Stegostoma tigrinum: one gene and its partners. The protein of the gene in region 1 interacts with the protein of each later gene in a pairwise test. Links are inferred from orthologs where the notes say so. Each region holds a gene or a part of one and is shown on either strand. Other genes may lie near its edges. The genes, in order: RUN and FYVE domain-containing protein 1-like, ras-related protein Rab-39B and utp25.

What was found.
Region 2: the proteins of RUN and FYVE domain-containing protein 1-like (region 1) and ras-related protein Rab-39B interact in binary tests that used the Homo sapiens proteins (3 or more experiments, as listed by UniProt). The two-hybrid records come from large-scale screens. The link is inferred for Stegostoma tigrinum from reciprocal best matches to the Homo sapiens genes RUFY1 and RAB39B.
Region 3: the proteins of RUN and FYVE domain-containing protein 1-like (region 1) and utp25 interact in binary tests that used the Homo sapiens proteins (3 or more experiments, as listed by UniProt). The link is inferred for Stegostoma tigrinum from reciprocal best matches to the Homo sapiens genes RUFY1 and UTP25.

Annotation. Positions count from the first base shown.
Region 1 is NC_081366.1:38,378,996-38,386,278, forward strand, and holds the start of RUN and FYVE domain-containing protein 1-like, read right to left. Parts: upstream 3,005-7,283; 5' UTR 2,919-3,004; coding exon 2,678-2,918; intron 2,603-2,677; exon of another isoform or gene 2,490-2,602; intron 1-2,489. UniProt on the Homo sapiens protein: Activating adapter involved in cargo sorting from early/recycling endosomes. Regulates retrieval of proteins from endosomes to the trans-Golgi network through interaction with the dynein-dynactin complex.
Region 2 is NC_081368.1:35,313,715-35,320,662, reverse strand, and holds the start of ras-related protein Rab-39B, read right to left. Parts: upstream 3,024-6,948; 5' UTR 2,689-3,023; exon of another isoform or gene 2,672-2,688; intron 2,494-2,671; exon of another isoform or gene 2,473-2,493; 5' UTR 1,745-2,472; coding exon 1,530-1,744; intron 1-1,529. UniProt on the Homo sapiens protein: The small GTPases Rab are key regulators of intracellular membrane trafficking, from the formation of transport vesicles to their fusion with membranes.
Region 3 is NC_081362.1:63,458,930-63,465,865, forward strand, and holds the start of utp25 (U3 small nucleolar RNA-associated protein 25 homolog), read right to left. Parts: upstream 3,033-6,936; 5' UTR 2,991-3,032; coding exon 2,881-2,990; intron 877-2,880; coding exon 837-876; intron 1-836. UniProt on the Homo sapiens protein: Component of the ribosomal small subunit processome for the biogenesis of ribosomes, functions in pre-ribosomal RNA (pre-rRNA) processing. Essential for embryonic development in part through the regulation of p53 pathway.

The DNA of each region.
Region 1 (7,283 bases):
ACAGGACAATAAGATTATTCAATTCCTAAACAGGAATTGTTCCAAGAGCAACATCTCAAAACAAACCCTTGGCAAAGGTAAATTCAGTAAAATAGATTGCCTCACATGTAACTCTCTTGTCTCGGAGGAAAAACAAACGAAAACTCAGTAGCAGGGACAGATATACTGCAGCTTCCAAACCCAGCTTCAAGATCCCAGCAACTGTTACTGAAAAACTAAATCTAAAAATCCTGTTCTGTCGGAGCTTGAAAATTTTAGGTTCTAAGCCATCTTCTTATGATGTTTTGAGGGGGTTTGGTCTGGTCTGTAACACCAGGTCATGGTGATAGATTTTTTTTCCTGTCACTAATGGGGATCAAACTTAATAAGGGACAAGTCTTGGATAGATGGTTGGCACTTAAACTTAAGGCACCATGGCTAGATGAATCGCAACCAAGAATTCTTGAAGTAAAATGATGGTAAAAATACAGCCGACACTGGCCGTAATATTTCAGTTTTCCTTTGACCTCTGGCACCAGGATCTTTTGCTGCGATGATCCTTAAGATTATTTTGCTGGCCAGCATGTTGCTTCAGTCATTTTTTTGCCTCTGGTTGATAACATTGAAGCTGCTTCCATTGTTCCAATTTTTAAAAACCTCAGGTCTCATAAGCTGTTTACTTTATTGGATTTAAACAGACAGCCTGTCACCACCGTCTTAACATGTTTTCATACGAAGAAAAATCCAGTCAAAATACACCTCTTAAAGCGTAGTACCATCACAATGAGTAGCCTTTTTGGTAAAGACAGATGCAAAGTATTTATTTAGTACCACAGCCATGCCCCATGCCTCTAATTGCAAATCATCTTTTTGGTCTCAGATGAGTCCTACTACTCCATTAGCCACTCTCTTGCTATTTATAGGTCTTTACAAGACTTTAGGATTTCCCTTTATGTTAACTGCTAGTCTTTTTTTCATAGTTCTGCTTTGCTTTTCTACTTCCTCCACCAAACAGGACGGCGTCTAACAGCTACAACATTATGAACAATGCATTTCTAATGTAACAATAATTTCAATCCACTTCGAAAGTATTATAGAGCAAACTATGTTGTCAACAAATAGGGTAATTTCAGGGCAGATATCCAGAAGCTTGGTCATAGAGGCAAATATGAATTCATTTCTTAAAAGGAGGAAGGAGTTACAAAGCTGAAGATGTTTACAATGGGAACTCCAGAGTTTGGGGCCTCAGGAGCTGAGGGCACAGCTACCTATTAGGGAATGATTAAAATCAGGGGGATGCTCAAAGGCAAGCATCAGAGTCAGATATCTGAAAGGTTGTGGGCTGCAGAGGATTAGAGATTGGAAAGGTGTGCCCATGGAGGAATTGAAAAAGGATGAGAATTTTAAAATCAAGGGATCATTTACACCAGGAGTCAATGCAAGTCATATGGTGAATACACCTGATCACGCACAGAGGTTTGAATGCTGTCATGATCTTAAGAGTAGCCTACAAGCTGTCAGTCAGAAGTCAACTGGAATATCAAGTCACAATAACAAAAAAGGTATGCATAAAGGATTTGGCTAATTAGCTGAAGCAGGACAGGGTTGGGTTATGTTGCAGAAGTGGAAATAGGCTCTCTCAAAGTATGGGCAAAATATGACCAGCCAGGCAAAGTCCTTAAATAGGGAACAGTTTGCAACTGGAAACCAGAGGCCATGGCTTCTTTGTGCAAGCTTAACCAGAGAAAACTACTAATTCAATATTTTATGTCCAACAAATAGGCTAACATTTTAGCATCAGTGGGATAAGCAAAAACAGGTAATGACAAGGTAGAGATGGACGCCATCATCATACACATCAAAAATGACTGCTTTTGGATAATGTCACAGTTGGGTACCCTGGTGAGAAACAAGAGAAGGAAGCCAACAATAAATCCATCAGACATGCCTGTTGAGATGCAGGGTTCAGGCAGCACAGTCACAAGCTCAAGTTCCAGACCAGATGCAAAGGTAAAGTTGATACAGTACTAGCAGACTACAAGACTGCTCTCTCATTAGAGAACTGGCAGTGGTTTAACCCCATGGGTCACCATACCTCAAAACAAGGGGAAAAGTTGAGATGGAAAGTTGTTGATGGAACTGAACCCACTACACCAACAACTAACTGAGATGCCAAAAGAACCAGGGTTAAATCCCAATTGCCACAAGAGGTATGTGACAACATATCTGAACAGGCTTTAAAGTAAGTTGAAGCTGCTGCAGGCAGAACAGTTAGCCAACAATAGACAGGCACCGCAGTAAAATGACATGTCAACCGATCACCTCGCAGACAGGTCAAGAAGGTAAACGTTATGTTAAAATGACTGTAACAATCGCAAAAGCGGGCTGGTGAAGCCTCCAAGCTCTTCAGTAGCTGTATTTCAAAACGATTAGCAAAACCCCAACTCTTTTGCAATGAGGGGATCCGGCCGGGATCAGTACTCGCCACCGACCATAAACCTCCCACTCACCCCACACCTCTTGCACCCGCGCGCTCCCTGGTCCCACACTTCGCCAACAGCATGGCGCGTCCCCGAGCCTCGCGCCCCGCTACCCCTTGCCAGCTCTGCCCGTTCCCCAAGGCTCGCGCCTAATTGGCCCCGCCTCTCGGGCTCGGGCCCGCGCTCGTGCCCCCCCCCCACCCCATTCCAAAACCTACTTTTAGTCATCGTGTTGTCGCTGCTGCTTGCTTTGACCGCGAATCCCACCGCCGCTGATTTCAAAGCGCTCCCGTAGTTCGCCGATAGGGTCTCTGACGCTTTCCTGGCGAGTGACAGTATGGGGGTCGACCAGCCACCATCCTCCAAGCCTCGAACGCTTGCGACAGGTGACGAAGGCGATCCAGTCTTGTGGTCTGCCTCAGCCGCGGCGCTACTCAAATCCTCGGTTTGGTCCGCCATCTTCCCTCGTGACACAGGCGTACGCAATCACTCGCCGAGAAACAGAGCGAGAGTCACGTAGCTGAAGACGGTTAATCCTTGAGAAATTAACCAGCAGGCGGCGGCTGCGCAGGCGCACTAAGTTTTTTTTCCAAACCTGTCGTCAGTTGTTGTGTTATGACATTTCTAATGTACAATCCGGGAACTAGGCTCATCCCAGAGCAGAGGAAATGTGCCTTCGTATAAAGCTCCATCTTTCATACTGGCTGGTGAGCTAGCCGGAATCCCGCCTGTAGGAGTCAATAGAACAGTGGCCCATTCAGCCCGTCGAGCCAACCCTATCGTTTAATGCGATCGTGACCCATCCAATATTTCAATGACTTTTATTCAACCCATCCCCATGACTGTTTAAACCACCGTGATATATCAATTCTGCAATGATTGCAGCATAGTGACACAGTGCCGGGGTCCTGGCTTTGATTCCAGTCTAGGGAAACTGTGTTGAGTTTGCACATTCTCCTTATGACTCCGTGGATTTCCTCCCGTGCTCCGTTATTTTGTGAGGTTCAAGGGGATTACCTCATTCTGTGAAACTTTAAACAATATCGGGCCACTTTGCCCAAACTTTAATCGCAGAATCGTCGCATCATTCCTGGAGCAAATTTAGTGAACCTTTGTGCACTCCATGACTCTGATATAATTTCTGAGATAACGAGACCAAAGACTGCACACATAATCCAAGTATGGTTTAAGCAAGATCATATACAATTGAAACCAGACTCCACTACTGTACTCAAATCTGCTCGCAAGAAGGACTAACAGTTCATTACCCTTCCTAATGTCTTACTGCACCCACATGTTAATCTTCAGGGACTTATCAGCAAGGACACCTAGGGTCCTTTTTATATGTACATTTTCCAACGTCTTGCCATTTAATTAGTATGAGATTCAATTCAAGTAAGTATGAGGTGATGCACTTTGGCAGGAATAACATGGTGAGGGAATACACAATGAATGGTAGGATCCTGGGAAGTCTCAAGTATCAGAAGGACCTTGCTTTGCATGACTGCTGGTCCCTTAAGGTCGTGGGACAGTAAGATAAAGTGGTTGAGAACGTATATGGGATACCTAGTTTGATTCCCTCATTTAACTAAGTCTGCAGATTTTGAACTGTTTCTTTGATTCCATACCCCTTCCCAGTTTGGTATCACCACAAATTGGACCAATCAGTATTAACTCTTTAATATAGCATTAATACATTAATGTCCTCAGGGATCCTGCACAATGATTTCCCTCCTATTCTTAACATTACCTCTCTGACCAGTACCCCTTAAGCAAGTTTCTTAATTCCTACTGTTTACTGCTTAATAAGAAATCTTTTGTTTGACATGTTATCAAATGTTTTTTGGAAGTCTTAGAACAAATATGGTTCAGGATTAACACAGTTTTAAAAGTTAAGGAAAGACATACAATGATGTCACAAAGAATCTCAAGCAATTATTTTTGAAGCATTGTTACTGATATTATGTCAGTGGTAGAAATGCAAGCCCCTTTAAGCATCAAACAGAACCTTTCAGAGTTGTTGGAGAACAGATGATGCTAATTTTAGTACTGACTTCTTCTCCACTAGGTGGAAGGATTCTTGCAGCGCAGTGGTAATATCTCTATCTCTGAGTCAAGTCCCACCTGCTCCAGACATGTGTAATAACATTTCTGAACAGGTTAATGAAGGAAAAAAGTATCTTCTCCAGTAGGGCGTTAACTTCTGGATAGGGACCAGAAGAGTAAGTTGAAAACTTCTGTTGGTGCTAAAATATAGATGAAGAAACACATTGCAAATCTCTGAAAGCGTTGCACTGCCTGATTTAACATATCAATACTGTTCTGTTAAATAGTAACACAACCAAATCCAGTCAGCAGTTTGTAATGCCAATATTCCACAAACAGCCATGAGGTAAGTTAGAAGAATTAGTTTTATGTCACATGTACTCACATGAGTACAGTGAAAAGTTTATAAGTCGCCCTACTTATGGTGCCATCTTAAGTACAAATGTAACTAGAAACACAATCTTTGGTACAAATTCTTAGGGGAAAAAAATAGAAAAATAACGAAATAAAAAGTTCAGCTTTACAGATCTTAGTGCCATCTCAGATGCAAAAGTACAAGATTGTCAGAATAAATTAGAAAAATAAATAAATAAATAAAACATTCAGAATAACAGTCTTTCGGAATAACCAGACAATCTGATGTAGTAAGATAATAAAGTGTGAAGCTGGATGAACACAGCAGGCCAAGCAGCATCTCAGGAGCTCCAGCTTCACACTTTATTATCTTGGATTCTCCAGCATCTGCAGTTCCCATTATCATTAATCTGATGTAGTAATATTACTTTAGGGCTAAATGTTTGGACAGACTACCAGAGTAAAATCCCATGCTTTTTTTCCAAAAATAGTTCCATGATACACTTTTGCAACCTTAAGGGCAGCCATTTTAAGTTTTCATCTGAAATTTGGAATTTCTTCAGTATGTCACTAGATTATATGCCAAGATGTTACTGGCATATGTTCAAATCTGAAGTGAGGTTCGAACCCACCGCCTCTTTTGCTTCCCAGATTGTCACATGCTCAAAGATATCAAGGAAATCAGTAAAATAGGATCTTCCCTCTTAAAAGCTAAGTTAACACTGTCCATTCACACCTATATGGTTGCAGTACGTACCACCTACAGCAAGCAATGCAAGAACTCACTAAGACCTATTTGGTGATAATAAAATGTGAGGCTGGATGAACACAGCAGGCCAAGCAGCATCTCAGGAGCACAAAAGCTGACGTTTCGGGCCTAGACCCTTCATCAGAGAGGAAGGGTCTAGGCCCGAAACGTCAGCTTTTGTGCTCCTGAGATGCTGCTTGGCCTGCTGTGTTCAACCAGCCTCACATTTTATTATCTTGGAATTCTCCAGCATCTGCAGTTCCCATTATCTCCAAGACCTATTTGCTGTCTTCTGAACCTGCAACCTCTACCACCCAGAAGGACAAGGACAGCAACCGCATGGGAACACCATTATCTCTTAGTGACATACCATCCTAGCATAAGCATTAATCACTGTCCCATTGTTGCCATTGTGTCAAAATCCTGGAGCTCGTTACCCAATAGCATTGTGGGAGCACCTTCACCAGACATAGTGCAACATTTCAAGAAGCAAGCTTTCCATTATTTTCTCAGGTAACTAAGAAGAGACAAGAATGTATGCAGCTGAAATCAAAAGATTTGCTCCCGATAATCAATCCATTATTGTGCATCAGCGTTGTCTAAGGTTAATGTATCCTTAATCATCTAATTATTTTGCCAATTTTTGAAAATATGGTTTTATTAGCTGACCACCAATCAACAGATAATTTTCCCAGTGTACTTTAGACTCCCTAATGAATGTCAATGCAATTTAAATGTGCATGTTTATCTTTCTGAACACTGTAGATCAATACTGTTTAATATTGGGCAGTTATCTGCTTTAATTCTTTATAGCCTGTCTAGACTTCAGAAACATTTATGTCAAAGTTGAAGTTTTTTGCTGAAGTTATGTTGTTCATAATTTCTTCACATTAATCATTCAGAATATTTACTATCTGTTGCTCAACATGAGTTCAATTTTTGTGCATCTTCTAATAATTCCCATTTCTTCTCTTAGAGTCCCTTGATGTATCAATATGGCAAGTGTGAAGACTTTTTATTTTTATTTTTCTGTACTTCTCATTACTGGCTGAAATAGGAAAGGAACTGTTTTTAAAAGACTAGGGTTGTTGAAGAATGACTGCCCTTTATAAAGAGCAAATAAGCTGACACTCGTTATAAGTACACATTCGCTCGTTCAAGCAGTAATGGAAGCCTGGATTTCCAATGAGTTTGACCAAAGGGTTGTGTACGAATGGAGCATTGACTGGCAACAAGTAGCTGATTGGACTGTGGTCGAATGACCAGTTATTGAAGACAAATCCTTTCCCCTACAAACAACTATGTAATTGGCTTCCGAATAGCTGAACAGCTTGGGTTTTGAGTGTTTTGGCAGAAACCATCAGACTTCTGGAAGTGCAGGCTCTGTTTATGTTGTACAGTAAAAGTTGCCTTCAGCCTGGAAAAAATCCAGTTCTTTAATTCCTCTCAGCAGTTACTGTAACCTGTGACCTTAGGCAGTAATCCAGAGACTTTATAAGTGTGACTCTCTGCCTTCCACAAGCAAGTGAAAGTGTCTGGAAAAGCAGGAACATGGAGCAGTACATCCTGACAAGTCACAAGGATCATCTCAGCAGACACTGCTAACAGGATCACAGAACTACCTTCTGTATCCCTACGCCTATTACACTTTTGTTTTATTTTCTTTTCTGCATCTG
Region 2 (6,948 bases), on another chromosome or scaffold:
TATCTGAACAAAGTTTTTGGGTTTTAAACGGGGTCCTTAGATCCCTAGACTTTTGTCTGTCTAAATCTGGACAAACTACAAACAGGGAGGCCGGAGAGAATTGTTATCATCTTTGCTTTCTCTCTTTGTTAACCGTCATTATTTATATTGCTGTGTACTAACAAAATAGGCTTTCTGCCATGATAGTAACAAATTCTTTTGGATGGCTGATGTTGTATCAGGTAATGGTTTTGAAAAGGCTGATACAGGAGACTGTATTAAGCTCCACCGAGTGAGATGATATCATAGGGACCTGAGCAGGGAAAGACAGAACAGCTTAGGATCTGGTTCAGTAAGATTTATACCGCAGGTCTCCACATAGTCTTAAGAACAATATCTTTCTCACTAATGTAATGTACCCAATTACTAGCATGCTGTAAACTTAAACTCTGTTTAAGAACAGAGTAGCTTCTTGTTCATACTCACGAGATGGTAGCAAACTACCTTGACCAAGCTGGTAATGGTTGGCACGACAACACATTCAACAACTGGCAATAGCTATCAAAAAAATAAGACTGCGGATCTTGGGAGTGTGTCAACATTTGCAGGGAATGCTGCAAGCATGTTGATATTTGGAAGAGATGCGTGGGATTGTGTGAATATTTGTAACAAATGCTGGTAATATATCAGTGCAGAAACACAGGCAGATAGGAACAGGAGTATGCTATTAGGTTCATCAAGCCTGCTTTGCTATTTAACATGGTCCTCTAACTCAATGTCACACTCCCACACTCTCCCCATACTCCTTGATACCTTTGGTGCCTGTAGTTCCATCTGTTACCGTGACTTGGCTTCCACAGCCATTTGTGGCAGAGAATTCCATAGTTCTGATACCACTGATTGAATCTTTTTTTTCTTAATCTCAGTCTTAAATGGCCTATTCCATATACAGAGACTGAGACCCATTTCTCTGCATCTACCCCTCCCCCACCAAGGCTTGGCAAACAACAACCTTATCATCTCAAGAATCAGGAAAACCTTGTAGCCTGGCAACACATTCAAGGTGCTGGTGACATGTCAATGTCAGTAGAGGTGCTGGGAATGCAACAATATTTGCCAGGCAAATGTGCAACATTTTCAGAGAATGGGGAATGTGTCAATATTTGCAGGGGTATTATAATGAGACGTCAATATTTTGCAAAGGGTTCTGAGATCCTTTCAATATTTGGAGGGATTCATCACACATAAAATTTGATAATTATCAAGTAATTATCAAATTTGATAATCTCTGCTCTGATTTCAATGAGAATGAATGGAAATGTTTACCGCAAACTCCATTTGTGCATCATGGGTGTGGAAACTCATGATATCACACAAGGGGCCTTCTACATAAAATGTCTGCTGCTATCAATTTGAACACACAAAACAGAAGAAGACAGAACTATTACATATTTGCAAGAATATTGGTTTTTCCCAATAAGACACACGATTACGGTCCGATATAATTCCTGTTAAGGTTTACCTGAGACATACTAGAGACTAAGACTTACCTGAATCGCTCCTGACCAGCTGTGTCCCAGATCTGCAACTTAATCCGTTTTCCTGGCTCAATCTCTACCAGCCTCGAGAAGAAGTCCACGCCAACCGTGGGGTCCGACACTTGGGCAAACCTTCCCTCGGTGAAACGACGGATCAGGCACGACTTCCCCACCGTGGAGTCCCCAATGACTATCAACCTGAACTGATAGACCCAGATAGCCTCCATCTCCCCAGGTATTGTGATAAACTGGCCAAAATGTATAAGTATTGTGGCCCAAGTGCGGTGAGTCTTTCAGCAGTATCCCAGTGAGCCCAGCTTATTGGGGTTGGTTACACATCAACCAGGTCTAGCACACAGACAAAAACAGAAATCTCTGTCCTGCTGAGTCTCAGATTCCTCCTTTTATAGGCAGGTTACCATGATCGGCCATTCAAAAAGCAGCATTTGCAGTCACAAAAGGATGTTTCCTTCCAAGGATCAGTCCATTCCTTCTTCAGTGTCCCCACATCGCCAGAATATCCCCGTTTGGAGAAGCTTCCAGTATTTCCAAAAGGCCAGGGCACCCGGTGGTAGACAGTGTTTCTCGCTACTATTAATGTGTCTGCAGGCAAACGTGAAGGATTCCCAGGCTTGCAGCTCTCACTGTGTCACACCTCGGATGATCCTCATGCAGTCTCCATCTTTAAATCTTGCTCAATATCGACCAGGAGAAAGACATACATGCGACAGCGAGTTGTCAGAATCATCGGGGATGAAAGGGGGAAGGGAGAGGGAGCAGTTCAGTCACATTCAGGTAATTTGAAGAATTAAATGGACTATTGCACGGCTCGCTTCGTAAGCAAGAATTGGCGATAAACAGACAGACAGAGCTCGCTGGGGTTAAGCCCTGGCCAAAATCCCAGTTTCCAAAGAGTGGTTATTTGTTCCAGCCAAGGTCGCTCCCATCGCTCCCTCTGTCAGGGAGAACAGAGCTTCTTTGAAGAAACAAGAAATTTAATTGCAATTACAACACTTCTGTAAGCTAAACATTAAACATCATTTCACGGGTGGCTATTTTTTATCAACACGTTTGAATATACATTAAACATTGCAAGTCCTAGCAGCAAAAGCGATTTTGCAAAAAAAATTGTATATTTTAATGTAAAGACTAACATTTAACGTAAGCTTACTCTCAACTGCAATGGAAGCGATGCCGGTAGCGTTTCCTCACTCCGGGAGCCGCAGAAAGAGAGAGAGGAAGAGAAAACAAAACACAACGTTTTCAAATATCAAAAAATTAAATGGCGAACAGGCCGAAAAGCCGGGACTCCCGAGACTGAGAAGATGATGGCAACCGGGGTTGTGTGGAAGATAGGGCTTCGATTTCCCCGGGGATAGGTTTGCAGCCTTTCCTCCCTTTCCTGCTCACTGACACAGGAATCACAACCTGTTTTTAGCAGGTTGCAGCCCTGGGCGAAAGCTGATGAAATCACTGCAACATCAGCACCATCAACAACACAGACCGCCCCGCCCCCCCATCTTGCAACAACCAGTCCATTGCAAGCAGGGTGTGCTAGTGCACTGTGCATGTATTTAACAAGCAATGGTCTGCGTGCTCATTTCAAAGCTGCTTTGAGAATTGTATGGTTTTGAGAACATTTTAAGAAGCATTGACAATGAAGAAAATTTCAGTTTATAAAAGCAAGTTTTCCACAGAATACAAATTGTCAATAATACTTCTGTGCGGATTATCTGCACACATAGGTAAATATGTTTAAATTCTTGACAAGATATTCAATTAATGTCTCAGGTAAGAACCTTTAATACAGGAGCATGGTCATGTCATGTCTGACACGCATGTCTATATTTTCTCTTTCAAATATTATCACAAATGTTTGTGGCACTTCCAAAATATTCTGCATTTCATTTCACAATTACAGCATTTGCCACTTTTCTCTCTATATCTGTCTGCACCTATATGGGGTGGGAGCAAGGTTAACTTGCAAGAGGCAAGAGTGGAGGCTACAGTACACAGAAGCCTGTCCTGACACCTGGAGCATCAGGCTTAGAGCAATTTAGGACGGTCAAATAATTTGAAACCATTTCCCCATCAGAATAGGGGTATAATTTTAAATTGTCAATCTCTAACCTCTCCCTTAACACATTCAAGAATCAAATCCCCCACCATTAATATCGTGCATGGCTATCATTGATCAGAAACTCAACTGGACCAGGCACGTAAATAATGTGTAGGAGCAAACTAGTTATGAATAACGGGACTATTGCAGTGGATCAGAGGCTGTGATTAGGCAAGTGTTAGCGTACAGACTGGTAATTTTAAAAGAGAAGGAATCATCACAGAGCCAATAGAAAGAAAGTTGCTGGGCAAGATATAATTTTTAAACCGTTTTACTGTAACAAACCAACTAAAATCAATATTATTCAAACATTAGTTATCAAACAAGGGATATTTTAAATAAATACATTTCATTTTCAGTGTCACTTACAACTGTCTTATGCATTTACAAGCACTCACATCGTTTCCCACAAAAATCTGGAACCACATGCAATCTTAACCTTTCCACGTCTACATTCCCCATGTAGGATCTCCTGCTTTCCACTCAGTTATTTTGGATTTGAGTCACAATCTCCCTGTAACGGTATTCTATCTGAAATCCCCAGACTTCAAGAGCACTTAGAGATGAGCAAAGCAATGCCCACATCCCATGAATAAAAAAAAAGTTAATAACAACAAGGTGGTTCAACAAATCCTCTCCCACTGGGGCCAGGAGAGCCCAATGATGCTATTGAATCTTAGAGGATTTGTTTTTCCAGTCCTTTAGACAGCTCAGTTGGTTCTGGCAAACAAACAGCAACAAGGGCCCTTGTCCAAACCCCAATCTGTGCCCTACCTATCTTCGGATCTGTGCTTTTCCTAACTGTCTAACATAGACAGGAATACAGGGCATAATCTTCCCAACTTCTAAACAATGTGGGCATTAGTGAGTCAGTTGGAAAAATAAGGTGAGATCAGCAGAAATTACATTCTCAACATAAAGAAAAAGTTTGATTCCCCAACCAAGTTTTGAATGGTGAACTGAGAATTTTGCTTGTGAGCGGCCAGAAATGTATTTGTAGCCATTCGCATGTATTAGCTTGCCCCTTTAAACTCATCCTCACTCATTGATGTGCAGTTTCCCACCACCAAATAGAACGTAGATGGCAATGATTCTCTGCATGAAAGTCAGACTGGAAATCTGGCTATACCAGCTCGCTGCTTGGGCCACCATCTTAAGCAGCAGTCCCCATCAGCTTAGAGAATGGTCCAGAAGCATAACTGCCCACATACCCCCATTCACAAAGGTCACCACTGGACATTCAGCAGTATCAACGCACACTCATGACTCATTCTCTGATTCACTTACAATATACCTGTCATTGTAATGCCACTGCAAGGGCACTTTTCAAGCAGGGAGAGACATCTAACTCAAGAATTGGTCCAAGTGCACCTCAGACCTGTTCGCTTTCTCTCTTAGCATTCACTCACTTTGAGCTTACTTGAATGCTCACAGCATCTCAGCCATGCCTTGCCTTGTCTTTTTGTGCTTTGTCCCATCTGCCAGAGCTTAAACGTTCATAGTACTTCTGTCCTGCCTCGTTATTTAGTGCTGTCAACAGTCACTAGCCAAGGAGTTGTATGTGTTGCTGTCAGACAATGTGCTATGTCAGTCTCACACATGAACCATGCGTCAGCAGCATACACAGATAACAAAGCAAATAGCCATTTCTCAAAGTCAGGGTAAAGTCCTCAATCGGGCTGAGGGAGACAGCGTTCAGTCAGGGATCCCATTACAGTAAGTCTTGGGCAGCATTTGATATCAGTCTAGGGGTTTGGACATGGTTAATTAGCTACGTGGAGTGGTTAGGGGCATGGGGGTCTGTATCATTACAGTCTAATGAATGGGCCTGTAGGTGGAATGCGACAAATCCAAGGAGTCGCAGTAGGTCAGGTGGAGAGATAACTATCAGCCAGGGGTCTGGTCAGTGATTAGCCAGGACTGTTGGTCCAATTCATTCTGGAAGAGTGGGTCACAATTAGCCTGGGGTCAGCTCAGTGAGGTGGTGGTGACCCTCCATCAGTGATGTCTTTGACCAAGGTGGGGTGCAGCACAGCATAGTGTGCTAAGATGTATGGCTGGGACACATGGGTATTGTTAGGAGGTGAAGGCAATAAGGTGTGTAGGAATGTATAGAAGACTAAAACCGATGGGCTCAACAGACTGTTACAGGAAGAAAGGAACATGGAAGTTTGGGGGTTTCCTGGTTTTCTTGGTTAAAACTGCAACTTCCTATGCCAAACATGGCCTGAGTCTAATACAATTCACAAATGTTCTGGAAGTGGAAAAGGGCTGTGACCACACCCATAACGGGTGGAGTAGGTATTTTTTCCCCTGTCTGAGCTTCTGGACTCTGTGAGCAATGTGAGACCCTTCAAAGGATAATTGCATTAATCAGGCACTTACCCTGTACAGATTGGTGTCATCAGTAATCAGGTTGTATGGGGTACAAATCCTGGCACAAACAATCGTAACCATATCATTGGTCATTGCAGATTAATTATACTCTTCTCTGGGAAGTAGAAGCAATCACAGGCGATCAAAAAGTGGCAGTGGTGGACTGCAAATTGTAACCAGAATATAATATCACTTAGGCTGCTCAAAGGCAAAGGACTAATTTTCTTTCACCTTAAACTGTAAGTATTCGCCAACATGCTGTTGTAGGTATTAATGCCTTTCTTAGATGATCTGAGAGGGTGAGTGGACAGGCTATCAGTAATCAGACAACATTTTCAATCCATTGCCATGATTACATGACATGACATGTGCTGCATTCGTTGAAATAAGGTCTTTGTGTCAGAGGCCAATGTGGATACATTTCATGGTCCTCCTTGTCAGAGCCTTCTATGTCATGCTGCATGGCTGAATGTGTTTAACCATTATGAGCTGGATGCTTTTTGAATGGTTACTGAAAGACAAGGGTTACTCTCTGCAACCGTGGCTGATGACTATTTTATGGAACTCCTTTACTGAGGCTGCGCATAGATACAGTGCTGCCCATTCTTTGACCAGGGCCATCATGGAGCAAATGATAGATCTTGTGAAGATGAGGTCCTGATGTGTGAATCTGTATGAGTTGAGCCTTGCAGCATAGTTCAGACAGAGTGTGCCACATAATCCTTGAATGCTGTTCAGCACACAACTGGGAGCAGGCTAAAAGGGGCTGAGATAGGCGCTGAAGACTTAGGACAGGAGGAGAGTCTTCCAAGGTGGAAGATGAAGACATTGAGCCGATGGGATATCACCTTCTGCATGAGGTTCAGCAATCCAGACAGGACATTATTGGAACTGGGTTCCAACGGATGTGAGCTGCTGCAGTGATCATTCATTGAC
Region 3 (6,936 bases), on another chromosome or scaffold:
TCTAAAGGATTGAGGCTCCAAAAGCTTGTGACTTCAAATAAAACTGCTGGATTAAAAAGAACAGAGAACAAAGAAAATTACAGCACAGGAACAGGCCCTTTAGCCCTCTAAGCCTGCACCGATTGAGATCCTCTGTCTAAACCTGTCATCTATTTTCTAAGGGTCAGTATCCCTTTGCTCTCTGCCCATCCATGTACCTGTCCAGATACATCTTTAAAGAGACTATCATGTTTGCATCTACCACCTCCACTGTCAATGCATTCCAGGCACCCACCACCTTCTGCATAAAGAATTTTCCACGCATATCTCCCATTAACTTTCCTCCTGTCACTTTGAAATAGCATTGTGTAATTTCTGACACTGTCCAGAAAAGTCAGACATTCTCCCACTCTCTTCACTCTACCTACACTAGCTGTTTCTTTAGCTATCTACATTTCCATGCTTGGGAATTCTTTCATAAACCTTGCACCTCCTTTGATTTTTGGAAAACGGGTCTAACACCTGTCATCTGTGTCTTGGTGTAATGTTTACTTAATGTTTACTTAAATTATCTCTGTGAAATGTCTTTTTTTCTAGCATTAAGCATAATAAACTATTAAAATAAACATCAGTGCCTACATCATTGTTACAAACTTTCACAGCAAAGAACTTGCACTCTCAACCCATCAAACATTGCGTGTTTTATCTAGACATTTCCAGAGATGTTCATTTCTAGCTGCCATTTAATTCAATATTTTTAAAATTAAGTTTAACTAACACATGAAGCATTCTGTCTTCCAGACAGTGTTACCTCCAGATACTACAAAGAATCCACAATAGTAGTATTCAAAACTCACCGGATCAACAATCTGAACTGGCGCTGCTTTTTCCAAAATCCTGCAAAATAATACCCAAATATTACACAGAATTGCAAGATAGCCTGATGGCAGACAAATTGAGCAGGTATTTTATAATTTTCTCTATAAAAGATATAAAGCAACATCCCAGAAGCAATAATAAATCAGAAAATAAAAGGGTGTGAGGTACTCAGGAAAATTACAATCACTCAAGTAGTACTGAGTAAATCGCTGGCATTGAAAACTAACAAGCATCTTTATTTGGAGACAGCAAGAACTGTAGATGTTGGAATCAGTCAATACAGTGTGGAGCTGGGGGGGAAGTTAGGGCTGGTTATGAAGGATGCACACCCGAAACGTCAACTTTCCTGTTCCTCTGATGCTGCCTGACATGCTGTGTTCCTCCAGCTCCACACTCTATTGGCAACGTCTTTATTCTATGTTCTCAAAATAAGTTCCAACTGCGATAGGTAATATGTTGATTTTAATTTTCTTTTCCAAAACAAGATACAATTGTAGTGGGTTGCAAAATAATAAATGTTTCTCCTTTAGTCAAAACGAGGAATCAACAAACAGAAAACTACAGGCCAATCAGTTTAATGTCTGCCATAGGGAAAACATCAGAATCTGTTGTTAAAGGCATGCTAATAATTATAAGTTATTAATTTTCAGCATTCTGATTTTTAGAGGGTATTTCAGAAGTTGCCACATCAAATGTTGCCGTTGAAAATAAAACATCATGTTTTATTTTCCTCCGATGTCAGTATAATTCGACTTTAAACTTCGAAAATTGTTCACATTATTCCAACATGGGGTAGTATATTGGCATGGATAGAGTGGCAGATTGGCAGAGAGTAGGCAAAGATGGATCTTTTCGTGGTTGGTGAGATGTAATGGTGTGCCATATAAATTAGTGCAAGAACTTCAATTGTTTACAATTTTCATAAATGACCTGTTTAAAGGAACAGAAGGTAAGATGGCCAATTTTGCAGATAACAGAAAAAGCATAAAACTAAGTCATGTAGAGGACATATGGAGGCTACAGATACTGATAGTTACACAATGGGCAAAGAATTTCAGAGCAAACCGATCACAGTATATGATGTCAGAGAAGAAGCAGACCATTCAGCCCGTCGAGTCTGCTCCACCATTTAATGAGACCATGACCAACTTGATAACCCCCAACTCTACTTTCCTGTATTTTCCCTATCCCACTCAATTTCCCCACCGATTAGAAATCTGTCTCCCTCAGCCTCGAATATACTGAATGTCACAGCTTTGACAGTCCCTGGACTGCCGGTTTGTGAAAAAGACTTCAACAGCCAGGTTAAATGCTCGCTCCAGGTGAAGTTGCCACAAAAGGTCCCACTTTCTCAACTTGACCTGAGGCTTGGAGACCGCTACTGAGACAACAGTGTTATGGTTCTCTGGAACAATGGTGATTTTACCCTCACAGCCTTCTGCAGTAAAGAATTACAAAGATTCACTAGCCTTAGAGAAGAAACCCTCTTGCCACTAGCAAATTTTAAATAGATGAAGAGGAATTACTTCTCCCAAAAGGGTCAAGAATTTGTGGAATTCACTATCCCACACAGCAATGGATGCAAGGTTCTAGGGACTGAATTGCTTAATCCTGCACTTTTTAAAAAATTATTAAACCCATGTTCTTAAATGTATGGTCTCGTATTCTGAGGCTATACCCTTGGTTCTAGACTCGCCCCTAAGGGTAAACAAACTTTCCACATCTACCCTGTCAAGTTCCTGAAGAATCTTACGTGTTTCACCAAAGTTGCCTCTCATTCTTTCAAACTACAATGAGTATAGGCCCAACCCACACAATATTCATAAGAGCGCTCCACTACATCCAGGATTAGTCTCATGAACCTTCTCTGCACTACCTCCAATGTCAGTATAATTCGACTTTAAACTTCGAAAATTGTTCACATTATTCCAACACCACACTTCAGGATGATGAGACCGAAACACGGGTGCAAGACTGGGAGCGACGGCCAATTTAAGGTGATTCTAAAGCAGACAGACTCACTCATCGTGAAAGGGATGTTGCTCCCCGAATTCCCGCAGATGTTTTTTCTGCTTCTTGGTTAAGTTACTCCCAAAACGCTGCGATTTTCTTCCACTCTTTCTTTTCCCCATTTCCCCCCGACAACACGCGCACGCCTGCTGCTCTCCGATTGGACACCAACTCGGTGCCACGTCCCAATACGGGTTCTCACTATTAGCTCAGCCGTCCTACCTGAAAGCTAACCGGTACAGCTCCACCCAATGAGACTGAAAGGCAGTTTGACGGACGCTGGTGCCGTTCAATAAGTGCTTCGGCTGAAGGGCAGAGCGGCAACAAAAATCGTGAACGAAACGCCAATCAGAGGGGAAGGCCCTGTTTTAGGTTTGGTTGAGCGGTCGTGTAGTTGTCATTTTGGTTTCGGTTTGCGTCATGGGGCGCTTTTTGTGCAGGAATGAAATTCCTTACTTAAACCGTGGGAGGTTTGATTGGAGGGAAATTTAATAACACGATGGAGGCAAGTATGCTTCGGAAAGCTCTTTTCTTTCTTGATGTTGCCGTGGGGACGATAACCAGGACAGGATAACAAAGCATGAAGCTGGATGAACACAGCAGGCTAAGCAGCATCTCAGGAGCACAAAAGCTGACGTTTCGGGCCTAGACCCTTCATCAGAGAAAACGGCTTCTCAATCCTGTATTTTATGTTGAGCCTGCCTGACTGACTGACTGACCGACCTTCGCCTCGGTCTTGAAGGGGGCGGGGGTTTTTGAGACAAACTTTTTCTTCCTCATTGACAAGAGTACTGACTGGGTCTGTTCTAATAGCTGTTAGAAATGTGAAACATTCTTCATTTGAAAGATTACTCCTTTAACTGGAAAACCGAGAATAGGGTTCCCGTGCTTTAACAGACCCGTTTATTTCATTCTGTAGCCTTTTGTTGGTCGGACATTAGTCGTGAGATATATTTCCCTTTTTCCCCTCACTCCTGGTTGACTTCATCCTGACTCCTGTCTGCCACTGTTTTCTACACAGTATTTCCCGAATTCCTGGGATATCTGCAGCATGATGTACGTGAAATTATCTTTTCACCTATTGAAAAATATAAACAGATTGTTGTCAATAACCTGCCGCTGGATTTTTCAGGGTTGTTGTGTGTGACCCTGAATTTCATGTAATTATCTCCCTCACTCGACCCGAACGATAGTTGATCGTCCTGTGTAAGTAGACGACATGTGCAGAAGGAGCACTTTAAAAGTTTCATTTTACAATTGATTCACTTTTTCTGCAAACCTTTAGGAATAATTTTACTGCAGTTCTTCCGCACTGTGCTAACGGTTCCTCTGTGAGCAATGGGGAGAGAGGTTGGGATTGGGTCTCACTGCCCGGTTTGAGAAACCCTGTTCTCATTGGCAATTGACATGTTTTACTCAATTTGCATTGTAACTCCATTAAACATTTTTCTGTTATCTTTCAAAACCAATTATATACTTGTGTCCTTTTTCTTTGTGATGAGCTTTTGCTCCCGTCCACATCTCATTTTCAGGCACTACGTGTGATAGAGATAGTAGGAACTGCAGATGCTGGAGAATCTGAGATAACAAGGTGTAGAGCTGGATGAACACAGCAGGTCAAGCAGCATCATAGGAGCAGGAAGGCTGTAGGAACTGATGAAGGGTGTGGGTCCGAAATCCAGCTCTACACCTTGTTAACTAGGTGTGATAGGCTTGGCTTCCTTGGTTTCTGTTTGAAAATGGCATGTAGCTGTTTCTAAGATTAATTTTTATGGACATCTCATCCTGTTATCTTTACAAATCCTGTTACATTACAGTTTCTCCCATTGCCATATTTTTGCATCCCCTCTTATGCTTGCCTTCCCTCTATACTTGTCTTCTATTTACTGCTCCCTCAATTCCATCCACATTTAACTTCCAACCACAGTAAATTACTTTGTCCAACCATCTTAGTATCTGTCATTGTTAATGGCACAGTTTGCTTGTTGAATTACACTCTGCTGGCTATTATGAAAACCATTCCTCTAAAAAACCCTCAAACTATTCATTTTCTTTAACTAGCTCACTCACCTGTAATCTTTTTAAAGACTTTCAGATATGTTCTTGATCAGCTCTATGCCCTATAGCACATTGTGAATCCTGACAATCCTGCTAATGTTTGCAGGTTTCAAGACTACAATTACTAAAATCAAGAATGATTTTTTTTTTTTTTGATGATTTTTCATTGCATTCACCGCATTTAGTAGTGGCCACATCATGCCATCCTTCTCTGTTGAAAGAATTTGAATTAAATAACACCTACAAAGACCTTACAGCTGGTTTGAAACTTTCTGAAATGCTGCTGCTGTTATGTAGGAAAATGTGAAAGCCAAGATTCTTGTGCAAGACAAGATTCCCAAAGATTGCACTGAAATAAATGCATAGATAAATTATATTAATTGGAGTACAAACATTGGCTAAGAAACTGGGTGAACCCTTGCTCTACCAATACTGCCTTTTCATCTTTATCCAATGAGAAGGCAGACTAGACTTATCATCTGAAAGCTGACACCTTTGAGACAGTTCCTCATTTAAAAAAACACTGTTTGGTACTCCAGTGTCGGTGCTGAAAATTAAAGGCAGTACTTATTACCTACGGCTTTTCAATGTTGTCAGTTATGGGGTGTAGAACTCGTCAGATATTTGACTTAAAAGATAAGCTTCAAATGCTCATGCTATCAACATCTATGACCACTTCTTTCCACCTTTGCAGTATTGTCTATCCCTCCTGTAGTCCCATTGAAATTCTTATCTGTGATATCTCACTATTAGATATTGTTATTTAAACGTCTCTTCTCTGCTTTCTTAGTATCACCATTCATCAGCTGCAGTTTGTCAAACATTAAACTGCCTATATTGTCAAAAAATCACTCCATCTATCTTGTCTTCAATCATGTTGCATTGGAGGAGTAGGAATCAGACAAGTGATGTGCACACGTTGCAGATGTAAAAGATAATCCCATTCTTCTGATCGAATAATGCAATAGCCTGTATATGATGAGGAAAAAGTCAAGCTCGTCATGTCAGGAAACTCCAGGAATAGATGTCAGTCGAGGCAATAGAATATCTGTTGTAATAAGGAATTGGACCAGCCAAGAGTGGTGCCACTGACATGAACTTTGGAGAATAACAATACAGCAGAGTAGTTCACCACACTGATGGTAGGGTTGGGGTTGAGGAAATGTACTCAACGTTGGTCACGTTCACAAAGGTTGTTGGTGACTTTACCAAGTATCTTTGTATTGATAAAAATAAAACAGAGTTTGAGCAGGAAATGGTGATGAAGTTGGGAAGACAGTGGCAACACCACAGTGTTGATCCAAGACTTGAGAAAGGAAACAAACAGCAGCAGTTGAGAATATGGAGTGTGGAGAGTAGAGTATTTGTTTAGTGAATATTGTTCGTAGTTTTGAGAGATGGGATCCTAACTCAGAGCCAGATTTAGACTATTGATCATGGAAGTGAAAGAGGTGGTTTGGTCAAAAGCTGGACAGCTCTCATCATCTAATGCCAGAAACAGTATGGTCTTGTAATGAGGCTCGGTTGGGAATTTGATAGCATTGATAACATATTAAGCAAGGCAACTTGATTTTTTTTTCCTGTGTTTTGATTTACAGATAGATTTTGATGAACAGACTGGTAGAGGGAACAAGTTTAGATAAGCCAAAGTAGGGATGTATGGCTTTGGATTATTTGATATAATAGCGGATGATTATGTAAAATAGGATAAAGATCCATTTGCAATACATTTTTAAAACACCTCAGTACAAGACGGGTTCAGAAGTCATATAAAAGTAATTTTCAAGCACTCAACTGGAACCAAGTCTGATTCAACAAAATATTGTGGAATACTTTGTGATTGACTTGAAATGATTACATCACTGGTGTAAATTCATAGCATTAGCATCTGGACTTGAACTACAATTTAGTTGTAGTTATGGAACCAATCTGCATTTCATAGAATCCCTACAAGGTGGAAACAGGCCCTTCGGCCCAACAAGTCCACACCACCGCTCAGAGCTTCCCACC